Linked DNA regions of Alligator mississippiensis. The protein of the gene in region 3 purifies or fractionates together with the protein of the main gene of each other region. This does not show direct contact. Links are inferred from orthologs where the notes say so. Each region holds a gene or a part of one and is shown on either strand. Other genes may lie near its edges. The genes, in order: CD81, PFDN5 and GNB1.

Evidence for each region.
Region 1: the proteins of GNB1 (region 3) and CD81 purify together in Homo sapiens (co-immunoprecipitation; 4 studies listed by BioGRID and IntAct, with this or other methods). This does not show direct contact. The link is inferred for Alligator mississippiensis from reciprocal best matches to the Homo sapiens genes GNB1 and CD81.
Region 2: the proteins of GNB1 (region 3) and PFDN5 purify together in Homo sapiens (co-immunoprecipitation; 3 studies listed by BioGRID and IntAct, with this or other methods). This does not show direct contact. The link is inferred for Alligator mississippiensis from reciprocal best matches to the Homo sapiens genes GNB1 and PFDN5.

Annotation. Positions count from the first base shown.
Region 1 is NC_081825.1:188,706,164-188,713,645, forward strand, and holds the start of CD81 (CD81 antigen), read left to right. Parts: upstream 1-4,449; 5' UTR 4,450-4,590; coding exon 4,591-4,656; intron 4,657-7,482. UniProt on the Homo sapiens protein: Structural component of specialized membrane microdomains known as tetraspanin-enriched microdomains (TERMs), which act as platforms for receptor clustering and signaling.
Region 2 is NC_081838.1:9,180,625-9,188,483, forward strand, and holds PFDN5 (prefoldin subunit 5), read right to left. Parts: upstream 3,076-7,859; 5' UTR 3,038-3,075; coding exon 2,969-3,037; intron 2,345-2,968; coding exon 2,242-2,344; intron 1,795-2,241; coding exon 1,763-1,794; intron 1,389-1,762; coding exon 1,314-1,388; intron 1,041-1,313; coding exon 935-1,040; intron 848-934; coding exon 768-847; 3' UTR 535-767; downstream 1-534. Other genes in the region: ESPL1 (separin), read right to left, coding at 6,845-7,046, 7,392-7,556, 7,852-7,859. UniProt on the Homo sapiens protein: Binds specifically to cytosolic chaperonin (c-CPN) and transfers target proteins to it. Binds to nascent polypeptide chain and promotes folding in an environment in which there are many competing pathways for nonnative proteins.
Region 3 is NC_081836.1:13,022,506-13,030,202, forward strand, and holds the start of GNB1 (guanine nucleotide-binding protein G(I)/G(S)/G(T) subunit beta-1), read right to left. Parts: upstream 3,072-7,697; 5' UTR 2,908-3,071; intron 1-2,907. UniProt on the Homo sapiens protein: Guanine nucleotide-binding proteins (G proteins) are involved as a modulator or transducer in various transmembrane signaling systems.

The DNA.
Region 1 (7,482 bases), on a different chromosome or scaffold from region 3:
GTGGGACCAATGAAGGTCCAGGAGCCCAGAGGAGGGTCTAAGTGGAAGATAACATCCGTGAGTGAGGCATGGGGTATGGTGTAGGGGAAGAATGGAACCATGCAATTAGCCCATAAAGCAAGGACCACAGGAATCTGGTGTTCATTTGAGAGAACAATTTAGGATGCCCTGGTGCAGCCTCCCTCATATAAAAGTAAAAGACATCAAGGTGTGGTGGGTGGCTGAAGGGGTGATGATTGCCCACAGAAAGTGAGGGCTAAAGGGACTCCAGGGGCTTCATGGCCATCCCAGGAAAGGCACCTCATCACAATGAGCAAATAATACATTTTACATGGCAAGAAAAAAAGGATTAAAACTTGGTTTCAGGCAAACATTTGTGAAATTTTACAGTATTTATTTTGCTTGAGTGTTGCTTTTCTTCATAGGCAATGTGTAGGGGAGGCACAGGGTGGGGGGCACATGCCCCCCTGAGATTGGCCCTTGCCAGCCAGGGAGTGTGGGTGCCAAGAGAAGCACTAGCTGGTGCCCACCCTGAGTTTGCGGCCGGCCAGGGAGTGGGGGTGCTGAGAGAAGCACCGGTGGCATTTTTTAGGTTTTGCTGTGGGTGCTTCCAGGGTCAGCCACTGGGGGACCCCCTCTTTACCCAGTCAGTGATCAGCTGCTGGGGGATCCCACCCCCTGGTCACTGGCGCTCCTCCAGACTCAGGAGCCACCAGTCACCCATGGTTTTTTTCTTTCCTCATGTGCTAAAACATCAAACTGCCTTATCTGCACATCAGAAAGCAACTCACACAAAGGAACTCTCATGGACCCAGAGAAACATGCATCCACTTTTAGCTTCTTCTGTGCAAAATTAAGTTTATTTTTTACCTCAGGGGACTTTTTACCTTCTTTAATTTTCCCCCAGCCTGAGGAAGGGCACAAAGCTGGCAAAGAAAGATAATTTTTTGTGATTTCTTAGTTTGTCTAATAAAAGGTATCATCTCTGAACCAAGAGTTCTAGAATTTTGCATTTCTTTTTATCTCAGACAAACACGGCTACCAAATACATCTCTGAAATTCATGCACACCTGACATGCATTTCTTTGGTGGACATCTTAAAATTCAGAACCCGTAAACACTTGTATACTTTAGTTTGCCATCATAAACAAGGCCACTGTTTCAGTGCTGCTGTTCATGGTAAGAAAGTTATATACAGGCAGAAGTGTTGGCAAGATCAGGGCTTCCTACAAGGTGCAGGACTTAGATGAGGGGCAAAAAAATAATTTACAAATGCTTTTCCAAATCTGCAACTGCTGGATAGAATCTGAATCCAAGCTGGTTATGCAAAATTGAGTGCAGCCCTAAACATTACAGAATACAATGGCAAATAGGTCCTCTGTTGTTGAATTCAGTGGAGACAGATACTTGATCCAGTGAAACAAGGGTTCTCAACCTTTTTAAGATCCAAGGCACCTCTGGTTAGACTCGAGGCATCCCTCAAAAATGCACTCTCTTAACTTTCAGTTGTTTTTTGACTATGGGAAAATAACTAGAGCAATTTTATTGCAAAGAACCCAGAAAAAACACAACAGGTCAGAATGTTTTTGACACAATGGTTTCCTCTTTGAAATCTCTGGGATTATCTATGAATCGTGCATGGGTGTTTGCATATTGCAGCATCCTTAAAATGATCTAGCACAGAGGTAGGCAAAATGTGGCCCGTGGGCCAGATCCATCTCATCAGCTGATCGGATCCAGCCAAAAGGTGGGCACCCACCAGTTGATTGCATTTGGCTCGCAGCTGCCTCCGCAGTGTTCTGCATGGTGCCAAGCCCTGTCTACTCCCACTTGGGGCAGCCTGCATTGCATTTCTGCCCATGCCCATCCATGGCCCTGGCTCGTCAGTGCACACAGCTTCCTAGCAGGGCTGCTCCCTGAGTGGCTGCAGCTGCGCGGGTACTGCTCAGATCCCTATGCCTCCAGTGGCTTCTTCTCCTCCTGCTGCAGCGCTCTGGGCAGCAGGTAGCATGGGGAAGGAGGGTGGCTGTGCTGGGTGGAGACACGTGCTGGGCACCACATGCCCAGCCAAGTGGGGGGAAGCTGCAGTCGGGCAGCTCCTGCCCCAGCATATGGGGCTCCAACTCCTGGCCGCCTTCCACCCACTCGGCCACCTATAGGTGGCTGCTTATCCTGCCAGGTGAGGTGAGTGGGTGGAAGGCAGCTAGGAGCTGGAGCCCTGTGCGCTGGGGCAAGAGATGCCTGGCTGCAGCTTTGCCACTGTCTGGCTGGGTATGTGGTTCCCAACATGTGTCCCCACACTTACCATAGCCGCTTCTCTGCATTACTTGCTGCCTGGAGCAGTGCCACAAGGGCAGGAGGAGAAGCCACTGGGGCTACGGGGGGCACTGAGCAGTACCTGGGTAGCTGCAGGCACATCAGGAGCAGCCCTGCTGGAAAGCTGTGCGTGCTGGCCAGAACTGGGGCTGTCAACAGGTACAGGAAGGAGTGCAGCATAGGCTGCCCTGGGCAGGAGCGAGCAGGGCTTGGCTTCATAAGGAGCACAGCTGGGGCATCCATGGGCTGGATGGGAGGGGTGGAGATCACCCCTGCACTACACAACCCAGGTAAGCTCTATTGAATGTACCCCCTGCTCCCCACTCCCTTCATCCCCCCACTTCTGGCTGGCTCCTGGGACTTAATGTGCAGGCAGCCTCTCCCCCCCACGCACGTGAGCACCCCCCACCATACAATATACAAAAGTAAGACTTTATTTTGAACTATTATGCAATTGTTTCTATATACACTACTCAAAAATACATAAATCAGGACAAAACATATTTTTTGAAATAAAATGTGTTATGATAGATGTGTGATTTTTAGTATCTGATTTAATTTTTTTAATTTTTTTTACTTATAAAACTTATTGAAACGCGATCGCCCAAAATATTTTGTGTGTGGCCCTGGATGGTTTACCAGAACTCGTTAGGTGGCCTGCCAGCTGAAATAATTGCCCACCCCGATCTAGCAGCAGCCAAGATGCCATGGCATCCTGGTTGAGAACCATCAGAACATCAAGCAGTTAGTGTGCTAAAGATGGTATCTTTTATTAGACCAACTAAGTTGCAAAAAAAAAAAAAAAAATCTAGTTGGTCTAATAAAAGATATTGCCTCTAGCACACTGACTGCTTGTTTTTGTACACCAACGCGGCTACAACCTATTGTGCGGGCCGGGAGCGGTCTGAGACCCTTGGGGGCACGCGGTGGGCTGTGGCCAGCAGCCTGGCATGTGGGTCGGGGAATGCAGGCCGGCGGACTAGAATTAGGCAAGGACGTGTAGCGGTTGATTAAAGATTATTTTACTTACACCGTAGATGGTTGCGGTGCAGGCAGGAGAAAACTTCGCTTAAGTTGCAGTTACAAAACTCGTACGAACAAGACCCGTAGACAAACTCGAGCCTCTTGAAATAACTCGGAAAGAGCTCTGGATACACACACGCAAAGTTTTCTAGGCTCCGTGGAACGAGCGCACAGGGAAGGGTACATCGAGGGATTAGGCGGTGACAGGGGGAGGCTAGAGATTGATCAGGCCCCTATATCCTTCTTAAGGCACACGCTGGGTTTGTTAGGCTCTGCAGCGCTTAGAGTTCTTCACAAGATGTGAACTCGTCCTCATCCTCCTCCAGATGGTTGTGAAGTCCTCCAACTTGGGCAGAAACCGCTCAAGCCACGTAGGAATAATTTAGAAACAGCCAATAGTGGGGAACAAATTTGCATGCAGGTGGCAGGAACTCCTTTGCACCGGGGTTTTCTCTTTGCAACTGAGAATTGCACCCTGCAAAGAAAGCTCCTCGTGGCGGGAAATAATTCTGCAGTGCTGAAGCACACACAAAATCATACCCTTGGGTTATGACACCTGTATCCACCAGAGCCTCAATATTTTGCTTTTTTCTGTAGTTGCTTATAGTCTGAGGGGTCTTTTGGCGGAGACTATTTTTCCATAAGCCTTCGTGGCTCATATTTGCTGGGTGACTGGAAAAAAGCAAGTGCTGTCTGGATGGTAGCTCCTCTCCCTTTCTGTGTTTGTGGGGTATGGATCAGAAAATACTTTTTTTTTTTTTTTTAAAACATATAGATAGATACAGCATCTAGGATAAGCTTTTCTTCACACACCTTAAACCATATTTAAAGCCTAGCACCTGTTACAATAAACACACCCACACACAGTCCTTTCCCTAATCCAGTTGCAGTCTCTTAGTCCTAGCCTCAATTTTGCGGTTTACAGTCTCAGTTCATTCACTGTCGTTGTCACTGCTGCTGTTCTATGGATGAGGACAGATGCACAGGCTGCAGAGAAATGAGGGGTAGATACCCCCAGGAGGCGGTAGCTTCCCTTTTAAGATGGCCTGTGCTTGGGTGGGCGGATTGCAGGGTGGGGGTGTCTCACAAGCAGGAGGAGCCAGAGAAGCAGTCCAGTTTTCTGCTTATGTTGTGCTTCAGCTCGAGGAAGAGAAGCTGTGATCAGGCTCTGCAAGAGCAGCAGCTCCATCTCACGCTCTGATTTATCAGGCCACAGCGTCCAGGCAGCTTTGCTTGCAGAAATTTTCAGCCATGGGAGTGGAAGGCTGTACCAAGTGCATCAAATATCTGCTGTTTGTCTTCAATTTTATCTTCTGGGTGAGTGCATTTGCTTGGGGTGCAGTTTTGCATGTGATTTAATGGCTGGGGAAAACGAAAAGGGAGTGGGGGTGGGGGGGGGGTAGAGAAGGAAAGGAAGGTGAATGTTATGTTTCAGCTTGCTCTCTCCTGCTCCTGGCTGGTGTCAGATTGCCACCAAAATAATGCAGCAGGCTCAGAAAGGAGCTGACTTTCCCATCCTCTGCAGGAGAGAGGCACAGAGCTTTCTTCTTTTTCCCTAGCAGCTCTGGGGGATGAGACCTGGGGAGGGAACAGCAGCAACCTTTAAGTGGAGAAGATGGAGGGGGGAGGGAAGATTGGCTCACCCCAAAAATGGGTGTTGCATTGATAACAGAGCCTAGCTTGCTCAGAAAACCAAAGCTGGGAACTATCTCTTCCCATCCCCCTCCCCAAAACCACTGCTACAATAATTGATTACAATAATTGAGTCAATTTGTACCACCCCCCTCTTTCTTTTGAAATGGCAAATGTGTTTGGTTTGCTGCGTGTGCAGATGGTCTTCAAACTTAATAAACCACCTGTGAGCTGCACTGGGAAAAAACAATGCTTGGGAGACAGCCTACTTGTTTGTCTGCTAGGTTGATGGGGCATGCCTCTGTGTTCAGTATACAGGTCTGCAGCCATATAATAATCGAGATTTAAGACACTTGGAAAGGTTTTATTTTTTTTAGCTCTGTGGTATGTGTTTTGGTTTTGTTTGTGCCTCCCCTTGGGTTCTAACTGATTGAAAGTTGAGACTCATTAATTGCCAAAATATATGAAAATGTAATGGAGGCCAGGGCTTTGGAGTTGAAAGTTGATCTTTCCTGGTCTTTCTGTCATGTCAAGAGAAAATGAGAACTGTGTCCTTTAAAGAGAAAATGCCAACTGTGTTCTACGTATACAGGCTTTTATATTCAAGGCCACTTGATTTTTGCCAAACTTTTTTAATACAGGCAGCAAATTTGGATCTGGACAATGCATGTAAATGGCTCGAAGTGATGAGAAATGGAGCTCCTAAAAATATGTTTAACCAGTGGTAGGATTGTTCTGTGTTTTGAAAGATGGGTGGAGTGAGAGATTGCAGCCTCTACATGGGAAGTGACAGTCTGTTGCTGTGGTTGAGGTTGCTATAGCTTGCTGCTTTGGAGATGTCGTTCTTGGAGGCTCTCAGATGTCACCCTTTCCTGCCGTCTGCCTCTTATGTGGAGAACAGTTTTCAGCCTGGAGGGTGGGGGTTAAAACTTGCTTGGTGGCTAAAGTAGGCGGATGATGGTGTCTCAAAAGAATTGGCCACTCCGAGCTACTTCCCACACTCCTCCCACCTATCCCTCCCTCCCTGCCTGGAGAATTTTGCAGGGACCACACCCCACTGCTCAGAAAAAGTCTTTGCCTCATCTGCAGGTTCAAGAGGGGTTTGGGTTTGTTGGGTTTTTAAGTCATATTCTGTAGTCAGTGCAAGTTGGGAAATATTCTTTCCTACTATTTGGAAACAAGCTGTCTTCCCTGTGTCTGTCCAGAAAGGGCATCCCAGAGGGCTCCAGCAATTAGGGGGGAGAATAGTCAATATACACAGCTTTGTTAATTCAGCAATTGGTCACATCCTTGCATTTCTCATGTGCGAACGTTTATAGATATGTAACCAGGATAAGTGTTACTGCCTAACTTATGATGAGCCACCCCCGCTTCTGGGAGAAATAATAGGAATTGGGGGTGGGGGGGAGAATGTCTTTTGTTCAATTTAGCTGTTTATTTTTCATATGTTTTTCCTCCCCCTGAGATTGCTGGGGAAGCTCTTGTAGCTAGCTATCATTACTGAAAAACAGTGGAAGCTGTTGCGGTCTTGTTGTAGGTTGGCAGTTCAGATAACACACAATTCTTGCACCTTTGCCAGAATGAGATAGTTGCTTAATACTTTCTTGACTGTGGCCCCTGGTTTTAGAGTTAATGTTTTCCGAATGTTTATGAACACATGGCTATGTCTGACCCTTCAGTCTACTTTTTAATCTGAGGTCACAGCACATCTGGGTGCTGATCGGACACTGCAGAGTGGCACCATTTGAGAGATGCAGTTTTACATTAGTTAGCAGGGTGATTTAAAAAAAAAACAAACCCAAAAAAATACCCTGTGGATTCCCATTTTCACTGAGTTCTGCAACAGTGTTCCTTATTAGCAACTAGAAAGAGCAGTGGTGATGATGACTACAGAGGGGAGCTCAAGGAAGGGGAAACCTGGTAAAGAAACTTAAAAAATCCCAAATGACTTGGGGCTTTCTCACTTAAAAGGCACCATTCATAAAGGCGCTCTATTTACATGACCAAGTCCCCACCCAGGCCAAGGAGCAATGATTATCAGACAATGCACCACTAACTGATTTGCTAGGTATGTAAACAGGAGATGCCTTATCACCCAAAGCCTGATTGTTTATTTGCTGGGAATTTCCTATTTGTTCTGTTACTTTCTTAGTCTTTAATCCTTCCCCTCATGCTGAGAAGCGGCAGTCTTTCTATAATATTGTGCATATCAATAACATCTCCACCAAAAAAATCTTGGAGGATTTGCTAGCGTGGGATTATGAAGATGTACTGTGCCCCCGGCAATGCAGTCATTGGCCCTGTTTTATGAGTGGGCAAAGTGACATCCAGGGATGCTTTTTGTCATTGGTCAAACTAGGAGTAAAACCTTGGTCTGTCAGATACTTTAACTGTAAGACTACCTTCCTGGGGCTTTATATTCAGTACACCTGTTGAATCAATTGGGGTGTTCCTGAACCCAGTTTGGATTCAGGCTGAACTGGGAGCACCCTTGCTGCTCTGTGTATTTTC
Region 2 (7,859 bases), on a different chromosome or scaffold from region 3:
TTCAAAGGAGCTGCAGGGACCCCCATTCTCCCGCTCCCTAGGAGTGTCCCCCAGTCTGGGGAGGATGTGGTGCTGAAGCTTTACATGCTGCTCAAAGACTGGCAGGGATCATCCTGCCCCTCTCCTGTGGCCTCTAGCCAGTGCCTGACTCCAGCTGCTTCTTGAAGCAGGGGAGCATAGGCACTGCTCATCAGAGCCCTGGGCTTGGACCCTGCTCCTAGTGGAGGGGAAAGGGGGTACCAGGGCCTGGCTCCCTTCCAGAGCTGCCCACCCTCAGGGCTACTCCTGCCACAGCTCAATGGGTTTCCCATTTCCCCCCCGAAAGGGTGCAGGAGCCTGGAAGCAGAGCTCTGCCCTGTGGCAACCGCAGCGCTGGCCCCTCACCTGTGTCCCAGCTCCAAGTAGAGACCCATGTCCCCACCTCCACCCCCAACACCAACCTACTGTCCCACTAGCCTGGGAACAGCTTCTCCTTATCCCTGCCTTTTCCAGCCCCCTCTGCCTCCCAACAAAAAGCTCATGGACACAGACAACGCTGGTTCTCCATTCTTTATTTCTCCCAGACACCAACAGCATGTGCAACATATAAAAAAAAGGAGGGGGGGGTCCCCTGGGTGGACACGGCACATATGTGACAGGACAGAATCTGCACGGCCTCCCGCAGGGGGCAGGGGCTCCATAGCTCCGTCCCCAGCAGCTTCTTGGCTTCTGCCTGACTGCAATGTCCCCAGGCGAGGCTGAGGGCTAGCGCAGGCCACGGCTGAGGGCTATGCCTTGGTGGTGGCTGCCTGTGAGGCTCCCACGGCTGCGAGCTGCTGGATCTTCTGGCTCAAAACCTCTGCCACAACTGCAAGGGGGAAAGGTGCATGGTGAGCAGAGCTGGCATCAACTGTGGACAAGGCCCTGGTGCCAGACCTGGGCTGCCCATGCCTACCTTGCTTCATGGTGTGCTTCTCCTGCAGCGCCGGCTGGATCTTCTCCATCTGCTTCGTCAGGAAATCGATCTTCCGCTTGAAGAAATCCCGGGCATTGTCAGCCGACTGCAAAAGGGAAGAGGTTGCGAGATCCCCACTTCTAGGCATGTAACATGGCAAACACTGGGCCACCCAGGTAGCCAGGTGCTATCAGTGAACCCTGCATCTGTGCAGGCGGTTGGATTAGGAGACCCTGGAATCCCCCAGACCTGGATCCTACCAGGGACATGGCCAGTCACTTGTGAAGCAGCTGGACTTTGCACAGAGATGGGTTGGGGAGGGATTAAACAGAGTTTCCTGGGCAGGTATGACCCCCTCCCAGCCCAGAGCCCCTCTCACCTTTTCTACGTAGTAGCCAGTCCCCACGTCGATGAGGACGTGGTTGACATCTGAGAGCTTCCCCGGCACATACATCTGATGGGGTTAAGGAAAGCCCAGGTGGGGGGGGGGGGGGGGGGGCTGTATAAGAGCAGCACAGTTATACTGGGGGCTACCAGCTGAACTCTGGGGGCCAGGTGAGTTGTGTTACGGCCCTAAGGCCCTGCCCTGGCTCAGCCTGCTGTGCTGGGTGCCACACACCGAGTGAGAGCATAGCTGCCCCAGGAGCTCACTGCCTAACCACACTGGATGCGAGGAAGTGACCCGCTCTAACTGTCTCAGCCAGTGCCCCAGCCACCAGTGTGACCCCTGCTAATAAAGCCCCCTGGAGGGCTGAGCAGGCTGCTTCCTGGGGCCTGAAGGGTTAAGGGGTAGATCAGTACAGGCTGCACACGCCGGCTGGAGGATACCGAGCTGGTAAGTGGGACCAGCAGCTCTTTCCCTGTGGAGGCAAAGCAAATGTCAGTGCTTTTAATTACCAACCCCCCTTGCAGCACTGGGGGGGGCTGGCAACCAGCAGCAGGACACACGGGGCCCTGCGGGGCTGGGACACCTGCAGCTCTGCAGGGGAAGGACGTGGAGCAAGGGCCTGGAGCCGTGTAAGCAAAGCCCAAGGCCACGGGGAACCTGAGCGGAGACTGCCCTGCCCTGGGCTGTGAATCAGCGCAGCAGCGGCAGAGGCAGGGAAAGAACCCGGGAGTCCCGGCTGCCAGGCAGACGCCCTCCCCTGGGGATCTGGGTGCGAGGGAAGACGGCTCCAGGTGGCAGCAAGCCCAGGAAGGCGCGTGGGGCCAAACCGGGTGGGGCTGGGCCCAGTGCTGCTTTGCCCAGGGGCACCGGCATGACAGCGCCTCCTCCGGGGGGGCGGGGGAAGGCCGGGGGCACTCGCCTTCGTTGCTTTTGTTGAGCACGTTGAGACAGTCCTTGGCTTCCACGTACTTGTTCTGCACCACCTTGAGCTGAGCAATGGACGTGGACAGGAACTCCACCTCCTGCGGGGGCCGCACAGCCGGGAGATCAGCCCCCCGCGCACGGGCCGGCAGCCGAGGGGACAGCCCTCCCGGGACCCCGGGGCAGGGGAAAGACCCCGGGGGGGATGATAGGGGCAGGGGAGGGCCCAACACTGCCCACAGGGGGTTAATGGGGGGGAGGTCTGCATCAGTGCATGGAGGGGTCAGACTGGGGGGGGGAGGGACCCAACACTGCCCACAGGGGGTTAATGGGGGGGAGGTCTGCATCAGTGCATGGAGGGGTCAGACTGGGGGGGGGAGGGACCCAGCACTGTTCACAAGGGGTTAATGGGGGAGTCTGCATCAGTGCATGGAGGGGTCAGACTGGGGGGGGAGGGACCCAGCACTGTTCACAAGGGGTTAATGGGGGGGTCTGCATCAGTGCATGGAGGGGTCAGACGGGGGGGGGTCAGGGACCCAGCACTGCCCACAAGGGGTTAATGGGGGGAGGTAGGTCTGCATCAGTGCATGGGAGGATCAGACCCTGGAGGGGGGCGTAGGGACCCAGGCCTGTCCACAAGGCGTTAACGGGGGGGGGGGGCAGCAGAGCGGGGTGCTGAAGGGGTTAATGCCCCCCTCCCGGGGGCGGGGCCTGCCCGGGCCGACCTGGTCCAGCTGGCTCTTGACCACCTCGAGCTGCGGCAGCGACAGCTCCGCCATGTTCACCTGCGCCATCTTGGTGGAGGGGGGGGGGCACGGCGCCGCTCTGGCCCGCGGCCGCCGAGCTCGATGGTGTGCCCCGCCCCTCCCGTCGCGCTCCTCTCTATGGTTAGCCCTGGGAAGAGCGGCGGCGGCCGTGCTTCCTTCCGGCCGCTATTGGTATGCGAAGGGGTGGGACCTTTTTCTCAACTTCCGCCCTCCTTTTCCTCGCTTCGTGGGGGACTTATTTTCCAACTTCCGGCCGCCATTGCTGGGGGGGGGGCGGTGATGCTCCAGACGGGGACAGGGAAGTGCAAGGAAAGCCCGGGCGGGCCAGGCTTTAAGAGGAACATTTGCATATGCAAATGATGGGTTGCACGTGGGATATATTTGCCTATGCAAACGACGGGGTAGGCACGTGGGATATATTTACTTATGCAAATCAATGGGCGCACATGGATGTAGCTGCATATGCAAATGAGGGGATGCACATGAGGTATAGCTACGTATGCAAATTAAGGGGCGCGCGTGGGGCATAGATTTAGAGCCCATGAGGGTGGGAATGATTACTCACTTCCCTGGACCTCCTGGCAGCACTCCTACCAGTGCAGCCCAGGGCAACAAGGGCACTTTCAGCTTCACCCCCAGCTCCTTTTCTGCAGAGCTGCTGCCCACCCAGTCAGCCCCCCACCTGCACCGGTGCATGGGATTGCTCTGTTCTAAGTGCAGGACTTTGCACTTGTCCTTGTTGACCCTCATGAGATTGCTTTCGGCCCAATCCTCCAATCTTTTGAGGTCTCTCTGAATCCTGGCCCAACCCTCCAGCGTATCTACCTCTCCCTGCAGCCTGGTGTCATTTGCAAACTTGCTGAGGGCGCGCTCGGTGCCATCTTCCAGACTGCTGATGAGGATATTGAACAAAACTGGCCTCATGAGGACGGTCCACTTGACACCGGCTAGCGGCTAGCCGTTAAGCCACTGATTATTAACCTGAACCCAACAACTGGTACTGTGTCGAGTTCTGGGCACCCCACTTCAAGAGGGATGTGGACAACATTGAGAGGGTCCAGAGGAGGGCCACCCGCACGATCCGGGGACAGCAGGGCAGGCCCTACGAGGAGAGGCTACGGGACCTGAACCTGTTCAGCCTTCACAAGAGAAGGCTGAGGGGGGACCTGGTGCCCATCTATAAACTCACTAGGGGGGACCAGAAGGGTTTAGGGGAGACCATGTTTCCCCCAGCGCCCCCCAGAATAACAAGGAAAAACGGCCACAAGTTGTTGGAGAGTAGGTTTAGATTAGACATCTGTAAGAACTACTTCACGGTCAGGGCAGCTAGGATCGGGAACCAACTTCCAAGGGACGTGGTGCTGGCTCCTACCCTGGGGGTCTTTAAGAGGAGGCTTGATGCCTACCTGGCCGGGGTCATTTGAGCCCAGTTTTTTTCCTGCCAAGGCAGGAGGCCTAGGATCTGCAAGGTCCTTTCCTACCCGACTTCTATGATTCTATGAACTCCAGCCAGTTTTTTATCCCTCTTATAGTCCAATCATTCAACTCATACTTCATTAGCTTGGTAGCAAGAATGGTACAGGAAATGGCATCAAAAGCCTGCCTAAACAAACCTCAAAAGTCTTGCTAAAGGGGAAGAGTGCCCAGCTCTTCTGCTCACTAGACCCAAGACCGAGCAAACATCCATGGCCCCTGCTCCCCTCAGACCCTCCAACCCTGGAGATTTAGTCCCAAAGTGGAGAATAGGTATATGCAAATAGAAACAGTTCAGGTTTGATAGCAGGAAGCATTACTTTACAGTTAAGGCTGCCAGGCTCTGGAATCGGGCCCCAAGGGAGGTGGTGCTCTCCCCTACGTTGGGGATCTTCAGGAGGAGGTTGGATAGATTTCTGTCTGAGGTATTATGATCCCAGAACTCATTCCTGCCCAGGGCAGCGGGTCAGACTTGATGATGGGTTCAGGTCCCTTCCAACCCTAGAAACTATGAAACACATGCTAATCACAAGGCAAAAAATGAATGCCTGAGAGCAAGGGCTGAGGTCCCTGCACAACATTTTCACACCCCAGAGCCCTGCTGTGCTGGAAGAGGCAGAGGCATCAGCACCCTTCCTGCCAGTGCTAGGAAAGGAGAAGAACATTTCCTTAGGTCTGGTAACAGCCAGGTGCTCTAGTGCATCATCACCATGGCAGTGGGTTGTGCAGAGCTGGGCTGACTCTTTATCAAGTTTGACATCAGGGTGAAGTCTATATCTTTTGCCTTCACTGCTGCAGCCTCCCAGCATTCAGGCTATGGTTAAGGGAATGACACACCAGGGCCCTGGACAGAAGGAGCTATCCAAATCCCTGTACTGGTTGTAAAGAGACCTGGCATATCAACAAGCACTAGAGGGTACAAAGGGAATCAGGGAGCAATACAGCCTCAGCAGGTTGGATTTGCACGGCTCCGAAAGAAAGGACTTCGCCAGGTTTGAAGCAGGGCCGAGCTGCACCATACAGACTAGCTGCAGAAAAACTGATTCAGAGAGGCACAGTGACAGCTCACTGGCAGGTGACAAAACCCCAGATCACGCGAGCCCTGCTCCAACCAGTCAAGCTACGCTCGGTTATAAATAGGGTGCCCCTGGCTGCCCTCACCAATAGCATGAGCCCAGCCCTTGTGGAAGGGTTGGGGCTGGTATAACTGTCCTGGGAACACCCCCTTAGCTGGCATTACTGCTAAGCTTCGCACAGGTAGTTGAACTTAATGCAACCTCCCGAGGTCCCTCCCAACCCACATTTTCTACAATTCCAGGACACAGCCACTAGCAAAGACACTGAGGGGTGACAACTATTAGTGCTCTACCTCAGGCCTGGACCCAAATCCAGCGCAAGAGCAGCACCAGTGAACCAAGCATCCACACTTATACCCCATGAGCAGTGACTGCAGCATCCTAGAGCCATGCACTTCCCCCTCCCACCGCCCGCCCTCCAAAAGAAACGGCAAGCACACTTTAGGTTAGCATATCTGAACTTGCAGGTTGTGACCCAAAAGTGGGTCGCAAGAATATATGAAAGGGTCATGAACAAACTTTTTAAAGGAGAATCTATTTTTAAAGAAGAAAAAAGAAACCATGGGAAACTGCAGTTTTCCCCCTGCAGGCTGGCAGAGTTCCAGCCTGCAAGGGGCTGCTGCCACCCCTTCTCCCCACCCCCCGTTGGGAGGGGCTGAAGGTCATGAGCAAGGGGCACTAAACCAATGGGTCCTGCTATGAAGGAAGTTGAGAAGCACTGCTTTAGACCAATGCAGCTGCCTAGGCAGGAGGCCTGTTGACATTGGTACCCACAGCCAGGGCCCCAGCCTGCCCAGAAGAGATGGGCAGTGGCAGTGCCAAGTTCTTATTTAGGTGAAATTTCAGGGCAGAGAAGCCGGGCAGTGCCAGACAAGGAATAAGTGCCAACTGCCCTTGTGAACTGAGGCCTAGGAAATCCGTGCAGGCCGAGCAAGACTCTACAGCTTTATTTCAATGGTACAAAGTGCAACATACACCAGATTGTGACAGATGAAAACTGGGGTTTAATTAAAATAAGTTAAAATTTTAGGAATGCAGATTCCAGGGACAGGATCCCCACAAATCAGCCCTTGTGCAAAAGCTGCAGGGCTAAAGGTCCCCTCCCCAGGCTCCAGCTGGGACCTTCCCCTAGGGTCAGCTGAGGCCAAGATCAGCTGCAGAGTTCAAGGCACTTAAGCCACAAGGCAGGTCTGGCTTCAAGGCGGTTTTACAGGTAACTGCTTTGTGGAAGAACATGGGGCTGAGGCACTGAGCTGGGCACCCCCAGAGAGCCAATTGTGGCTCCTCAGTGCAGAGACACAGGGAGGCCGTAGGCCACAGGGGCAGCACCGATGAGGTACTTGAGGCGTGGGGCTTGGCGGGCCTGGATGACGTGGTCCAGGAGGGGGGCACCTGGCCCTGCCCGCAGCCAGCTCTGGAGCAGCGCCTCCGTGTAGCGGTCAATGTCGCGGTCGGTGACGTCCCAGAGGTTGCCCAGGACCAGGGGACTGTGGGGAGGGAAAAGCCAGGGGGTGAGCTCAGGGCAGGGGATGGAGCTCTGCAACTGGCTGACAGCCATGGAGTTTGAGCGCCTCGGATTTGGGTTTGCCCTGGTGGGGGCATGCACTGGGGCAGGGCCTTTACAAGGAGGGTGCTCGGTTCAGAGCCCTGTTAGCTAAGCAAGATGCAAGCAGATCTCATGCTTCAGGACCAGGCCTCTGCAGGGACCAGGAAGGAGACCCTCAGCTTCACCTGCAGCTGCCTCAGAAGGGGTTTGGCCCCCACTGCAGGGCCCAGCAGCCATAGGAGCCCCGCCACCCCCATGGCCCATACAGTGCTGGGCTTGAACTCACCACCCGGCCATGATGTACTTGAGGACGATGCCAGACCCTTCGAGGCTGCCACGTACAGCCAGGGCGACACTGCTGCATCCAAAGAGCAGGGTCACAGCCGCACAGTCCAGCTTCAGGATCGAGTGGCCATCCAGGAAGCGGGCACCTGCCCCATGCCCAGCATAGCTATGGCAGAACAATGGGGGTTGGTGGGGGAAAAGCTGATTTGTGATGGCACACAGCTCCAGCATCCCACCCTGTACCTCAGAGCAGCTCAAGAAAGCAACAGGCCCCTGGCCTGGCTGGTAACCAGCTCTGCCACTGTAGAGGGCTCTACCAGCAGCATAGATGTCATCATGGCAGACAGAAAGGCCAGGCCAAGGGAATGTCCCACAGTACTAAGACCTGGGGTCTGGGCTGCTTCCCTGCACCCTCCTTGGACTTGGGACAGGGCAGGAGTGCAGCAGCCTGGGCCACTTACATGTACAG
Region 3 (7,697 bases):
TATTCAAAGTGGGGAAAAAGGTCCTAATGCACTGCTCCACCAGGACTGATATTGGGTTTCTAACCTCAGGTACCAACTAAGTTTTCATGATAGGATGCTTGCTACAAACTAACCTAGCAACTGGAAGGACTACTAAGCAGAGATAAATTTATATTGCCTTAGTCACTCAATGCAGGAGACTAAAATGTTTTTTCCCCCCATTTATTTCTTTTTTAGCTTAAAAACATATCTGAAGTACTAGTATTAGTACCAAGTACTAATACTACTGTTAGTTTCAAATTCAGTGGAACACAACAAAAAAATTAAACTGAAATTTTATGCTGACAGATTTTTTAAAAGTTCTCTATGAGTTATTGAGCTAATTAGAGAAATGTTAATTTCTTTAATACAAGCATTTTGGGATTTATATACTTCCTGTAAAAATTAAAGAGTGGGAAAAAAAACTTCAATCATAAAAAGGTTCCTATAGCCTTAGGAAAATTAAGCTATAAAAGCATCTGGCAAGTGATGGATTATACAAAAATAAATCCACACAGCAATACCAGAATTCACATACCATTATTAAGAGGAGAGAGAAAATTTTAATTCAGAAAGCATCAAAAAAGCAGCCAAATATTTTGTGTAGTTTGACATATATTTTAGAACTGTTAAGAGTCATTTGAACATGCTTGAGGATAAGTAAATCTGTTTTTGTCAAGTATCAGCTGAATTGTTTATTTTAATCAAGTGTCTAAACTGGGGGGGGGGGGGAGGGAGGGAACGTTAGCTTTCTATAATTAATAAACCAGGAAACCTAATAGGCTTTGATTAAGAAATGTACACTTTAAGGTGCTACAAAACCACTTTTTAAAAGATTTTATAAATGTATGATGTAATTTTTAAAATAGGGCAAGGAACACAGAAAAAGGTTTTAATATGCAAATAGCCTTTTCATTTCTTCTCCCCCGCATCTAATATAAAAGAATAATTATGCAAACTGACAATTTCAGGTCAAATGCAGTTTTAAAAGGTTCCACAAATCATTGGAGGGCTCTGAAGCAGAAGGGCGCTTCCTTTCTATGATAAGAAAAAAAAAAAAAAAAAAAAAGATATGACTGTCTACATGGGGGTCTAATTATTACTAGGATGGTAGGAAACATGCAGTTCTACAGAGCCTTTTATACAGGTTTTCTCCATACAGACCTCAATTCTGGATTATATAAAAATATGTGTTCGTTAAAATTTGTTGCTGAAATAAGCTAGAATTTTTTTTTCCAAATGCCATTATGAACAGACATTGGGCATCATGTTACTGCTTTAACCAGTCACAGCCTATGTGAAAATTTCAATAAAACTATTTACTCCTCCCACCTAGTCTCCTGTACTGGGGGGAAATGCTATAAAAAAAATTAAAAATAAGCAATACCTATATATTTGTTTTATTGCACCCCCCCCACCTCCCAAGCCTTCCTCCTACTACAAAAAAGGAGAAAGGAAACAAAAACAAAAACAAAAAAAGAGAGAAATCTAAAATGCAACTAAGGGATAGTGTCTAGTTTGGCAAAGCTGTGGTGAGGAGGAGTTGAAAATGAGAGAGCTGCCTTGCTGCAAACGCCATCTTGTTGCAGTTACTGGGCCCAGGCACAGAAGGATCCATTCATTCACAGCAAAAAGAAAATCAAACACACACCCTCGGTAATCTGCAGCCACCAAAACAACTGCACTATTATCACCCCTTCTCTCCCCCTAAAACACGCCGAATCGGAAGAGATTGATGTACAGCGCTTATAAAGAGTTTACCTCTCTGGGTAGGAGCTTATTTTTTCAGTTGCATTTCCCACGTAGAAACCGACCGCGTTTTGTCTTGTCACATCCCCGTGTTCAGAGGACAAGCCTCAAAATGTGGGATACCCACCCCCCCCCCCTTACAGTTTGGTAATTTCTGCACCTAACGGTATCTCATTTTAATGCCAGTCTCCGAACACCTCCCTTTGGAGGTCAGCCTGCTGCTTCAGAAACCATTTTAATGATATAGCTTCGCTTTTTTTTCCCTCCCCCCCATCCCCCTGCTTTTTTCTTTTTTTAATTGGAGCCGGTATCCCCCAGCAGCAGGCAATGCCTCCCAACGTGGCTGCCGGCATTCGCCCGAGGATGCTTTATTTAAAACCAGTCCAGAGCTGGACTTGGTTGGAGAACCGTGAAAAATTGCACGCGTTAAAATTTCAGCCGATCCTCACACACGATAAATCGACACCGTAGAATAACCTCTACATCATCCTTATATTCTGCTGGACAAGATTTCTCTTCCTCCCCCCCCACCCCCCTTTTCAACTGATTCTTGCCTCTCCTCTCCTCTGCCTGTGCGCGCCTTACGCCCATTTTCAGGTTTTGAGAGGCAGTTTTGCAATGATAATAAAAAGCAGATTTCTAATCTAAGCAGCCCCTTGAATGAGGAGCAAAGGGGGAGGGGGGGGGGGTGCTGAAAACAGTACGGGAGCAAGCGAGGCTTGAAAAACCACATCTATTTTTCACAGGATTTCAATAGCGAGCGGCTCCCTTGTTCTGCCGGGGCGCGCACATCCTCCATGATGGGGCACGCTCCGGGTTCAGGCTCGCACAAACATGCAGCACAAGGCCAGCTCCAGATGTGCACCCCCCCCACCCTTGCAGGCGGTGGAGCCCCCGCGAGCCCCAGATGTTGCCGGGGTTTCCTGCCCCGCCCGGCCCGGCGCGGCCCGGCCCGGCACTCACCTCGGCCGCGCCAAGCCCCCGGCGCCCCGACACCAGACACGGCAGGGCCCCTCCCTGCCTGCCTCGCTTCCCGCCGCGGGCCGGGCCGGGCCGGGCCGGGCCGGGTGCTGCGGCGGGGGGGATGGGAGCCCCGGCTGTGAGGGGGGGAGGAGGAGGAGGAGGAAGGGCGGGCAGTACCTGCTCCCCGGGGCCGCGGTGCCCGCTCCGGCTGAGGGGGGAGGAGGAGAAGAAGGGCCCGCCTGGCGCGAGGGGTCCCCGGGCGTCGGCTCCAAGTCAGTCCCGCTCAGCTCCCCGCAGCCATCGGGAGCCGGAGCCTGGGCGCGGTCCCGCCTCCGCCCCCCGCCCGTGACGGCCCGGCCGGGAAACCCCGCTCGGCCCGCCCCGCCCCGCCCCGCCCCGCCGGAAGGGGAAGGGGAAGGGGAAGGGAAGGGAAGGGGCCGCGCCTTTGTTCCGCAGCGCCGGGCCCGGGTGCGGGCGTTGGGTGCGGACGCGGGGACAGAGGTGTCCTTGAGGGGACGGCCCGGGGGCCGGGACCCCCTCGCCCTGCCCCGCAGCACGCGGAGAGCCGGAGCTGAGGGCAGCACCGCGCCGCCGGCGGGAAGGTGACGCCAGGCCGCGGCCGCCCCGCTCTGCCCTCCCTGTAAAAGCAATAGAGAGGTGCTGGTGCCGGTGTCCCCGCAACACACACGCACACACTTTACCCGTATTTGTGCTTTCTTAAGTGGCGGCGTGTGCAAGGGAGGATCCTGCCTCCGCCTGACCAGGAAGTCCGTTTACAAAGAGATGAAACACCTTCCAAAAAAAAAAAAAAAGCTTTAAAATCCATAGAAAGAAGTGGTTTTAAAAATCCTAACGATGAGCAACGCAGCCCGGCTGAGCTAGAAAGGAAAACCAAGCCAGAACCGACAGCAATGAGGAAAAATACTGAAACTATTCAATAAGAGAGGCTTCTTGTAAGCGTCCCACTTTTTCTTCCACAGAAAAAACAATTTAAAGAGATGATGAGCGTCCTGAGAAGGGGCAGGCTGGAAAATTAGGTTTACAGAGAAGAGCGTGACCTCAAAATTGGGTGGAGTTGGTTAAAATGAGACCGAGAAAGGGTGTGAGCTAGTCACCGTAGGGACGGTGGGTTGTTGTGGAGGAACTTGGGTATCCATGTTTTGTTACTGTTTGTTTTACAACAGTTGTGATGTTGTTTGAACGGTCCTACATCCTGTGTTTAAAGTTCAGCGCTCAGCCCTTGCATTGGCAAACAACCTCCCCTCCCCCAGGCAGCTTCCTCAAGTGGCTCGAGCACTGAGCACCAGGACCTGTGCGTTGCCATCCCTGCGCTTGCCATCTGTTCTGTGTCGTCTCACGCAAGGATATCAAATTCACCCAAGGAAACTTGTCTACAAACAAAACACTTGTGTATGTGCTAAGCTTTATGGGCAGGACTCATCCTATTGAAGGCAGTACAACTATTTGTGTCTCAACCTGGGCACGTGTAAATGTTCATAAGACTGGGGCCTTTGGCTCGTGTATGTCTTGTTTCTCTCTATGCTAGAGATGAGAGTTTGCCTTTAGAAGCGACGTGTCCATTTTACTGGATGTTGTTAAAGTATTGTGGAGACAAAAGAGTGTAATTATAAACATAGCTATTACAATGTTCCAGTCGAAACAGCCTCTTATTCTGAGCGGTGGGATTTCAGATAGGTAGGCTTCGAAATACTTTTGAATGTGGTTGTAGCGTGTGTTATATACTACTTGAGACTAAGTTGTAATTTTTAGGTTAATAGGTTAATAAAGCCTGTCTGCTAGAAGTGTAAAACCCCTGGTGTGGAGACGGCTGTGACGACAAAATTGGGTAGGGGGGTGCTTTGTCATCTTAGCCTGTGTCATTTGGGGTAGTGACCCAGTACCATGTTGCAGACACTACAGGTTGGACACTACAACCTGTAGTGACCCAGCTTCATCTTTGGTTGGGGCTCTGTAGTATAGATAGGTATTAAGATTTGTGTTGAAAAAAAAGAAACTACCCAGGATTCAAAATACATTAAAATATGTGACCTAGTGAAAAAAAACTAGTACCATTAAGCAAAGTCCATTAGGCCTGAAAAGTTCTTAGAGAATGTCATCAGCTTGATTGTTAAAACAGGTTTTACCATTTTCATTCTGACTGACAGAAGTACCTTGGCAGATTTAAAATGCAAAAAAAGATATCTGCATTGGCCTTAAATAAGGTTCCAAGCTTTTGAAAGATGCTTTTATTTCCCTAAGTCTTCTGAGAGTGTTTTTCCCTGGGGGCTGGGTTTCATCTCCTTCCATACATGAATGGACATAAAGCTATATCTCATCAAATGTTTTTTGCAACCAGACGTTAATAAACCAGCGCCCACTTCTTTCTCATCATTTCAACTACATGTGAGACCAGATCCCACTTGTACCCATGACCTTCCCTTGGTGTTTATGTCTAATTTGTTCTTACATACTGTTGGTAAAGGAAAATGGACAGGAATTCTGCTCTTGTACCTTTTACAAGAAATGACTTTTGGAGTTCATCTTGTTTTCAGCCAGGAGTTTCTATAACGTGTATCCTTCCCTGTATTATATGAAGACTGAAGACTTGTGCCTGTGCTCTGTAACCTCTTTCAATTTATGGAGATTGGCTAAGAGGATTGAAGAGGAACTCTATGCTTGTACATGCCCAGTCACAGTTATTTTTTGCTTCCAAAGCAGATATTTAAAATACAACTTTTAGAGTAGTTCCTGGTTTACTTATGACCCATCCTCCAATAAAAAACAAGTGCTAATTTTATTGTCTGATTAGACAATTCTTTTGCATTTTAGAAGCCTCCTGAAAGAATGTGGATGCTACTAGTAAATTATATTTTGTCTGAAAACCATTGTTTCACTTTGGTGTCCACATGGAGTGCCGTCTTGGAAGCAAAGGTGTTTGCCTGACCTCCGTTTGGCAACAGCATAAATGCTTGTGTATCCTAATTAGCAGAAGAGGATTGTTGTAGCTCCAAGGCAACATGAACATATCAAGATCTGAAACAAAGTTTAAGCTGTCTGATGACAAAATTAAATATTTAATTCTGTCTATCAGTCCAACCTGTAGTGTCTGCAACAACTGATGTAAATGAGATATAGTGCAGACAGCTGGTAAGTTTAATGCCCTGACAGAAACCAACATAACGTTCTCTAAACTTGCACTCTCAGAAATGTTAGGTCCACTTCAGCAGAAACAGTGGTGGGAATCCCAGATCACTAGTGAAAAGTTTTTTCTAATATTCCCAAGTGTATCTATTCCCTAGCTACCTAGAGCTAAAGAGCAGATTTTGCTGCAAGCAGTTGTTTTCATCATTCCCGAGTATGTAATGTCTTGCCCCTTTCCTTGAGTCATTTGGTATAATCCGCTGATGGACAAGGGAAACTGAACCAGCTGGATCTTGGGGCTGGTCTGCTGCTCTATGTTCATTTCAACAGTCTTTAAAACATGATTACAAGACCTTGAGTTATCCTAGCCTGAGTTTGTCTTTTCTCTCATTCCAGGATGCTGTTATTTTAGGGAGCTGGAGTTTTGCAGGTTGAACTCTCACCCAGGACCTGTGTGTACAACACACTACATATCACTAGGAAAGCAGTAAAAAACTCTCGTTTCAATTGCATAGGAAATATACAAGCCTTTTGTGTAGAATACAAAGAAGCTAGTTGTTAAAATGAGGAATATTCAACATACTGTGGTATCACTATGAAATGTTACCAAGTAGGGAACAATTGTTCAACAGGCAACTTCAGGTACTCCTGGTTTAGAGAGCATCCCTTTAAATCAAGCCAGTCTGTGATTCCACACAAACACAACACACTGAAAGCTGTGTTCTAGTTTTCAGCCCTCGGGCTCCACTCTCACTCTTGCGTGCATGTGATTGCTGTTGGCACATACAAATGGAGGTGGCTGAGGATTAATAATATCTGTGCAGTATCAACATTCACTTTAGATCCACTGCATATCTTGCATCTCTTCCACCCTTCCCAGAAAACCTGGCTTAAACATCACCACCTCCCTTTTGTGTACATTTGGTAGAGGTGCAGCAGGAGGAACTGCTGCTTGGTTTCATGCCTTTTACCAATCTGTGGAGCAATCATCCCATCTGTAAAATGGTTATACTACTAGCCCATAAAGGTGTAAATCACAGCAGTATTAGCAATGTAGTGTACACATACCTGAGTTAGCTTTAAACTAGCTGGCTCAAGTACCGGTAGCAATCTAGCTGCAAAAGCATGAGCTGTTTTACCTTTCTTCTTGGGTGCATATTGCAGCCTGCACTGAGCTTCATGTTGCTGCAGCTCAACTGCTACGTTCCAGTTTCAGAATCCTCCCATTGCTCCCAAATCTGGATGTTCCCTGGATTCTGAAAGCCAGTGAAGGCAGAGGTTAACTTTTACCTGTATCGTTACAGACCATATCACAATGGGTCTCAAGCCCAACTGCTTTTGAGCATTGTCATACTAGGAACAGAGGGCTAAAAGGTGCCTCCTAGGGCATCGAGTCTAATCCCCTCCATTAGTAGGCTACTGTTAACCTAAGGAATCCCCAAAATTGCCACTTTAAGCCCTCACAAATAATTAGAACCATCTACAAGATGCCAAGACCTTTTAATAACATGGCACAAGCAAAAGCTGGAGAGACAAGGGTCCTGCCAATGCTCTGCCACTGCCACAACAGAAATATTACAAAAACAACATTCATTTCTATCACTACTATTGTGCTTGTCATTCTGCTTTGTGATTAACTATACATTCAAATTCTCTTACTAATCTTTCTGACAAACTTCTACTCTTTCTGCTGCTCAGATTACACAGAAAATACTCTAATTCACCCATGTTTAACTTGTACCCATTTTTAGAGTCATATAACATCTAAATACAATTATTTTAAACTACAGTAAGTATGGGATAGCAAATACCTTTAAAAAGCTTAA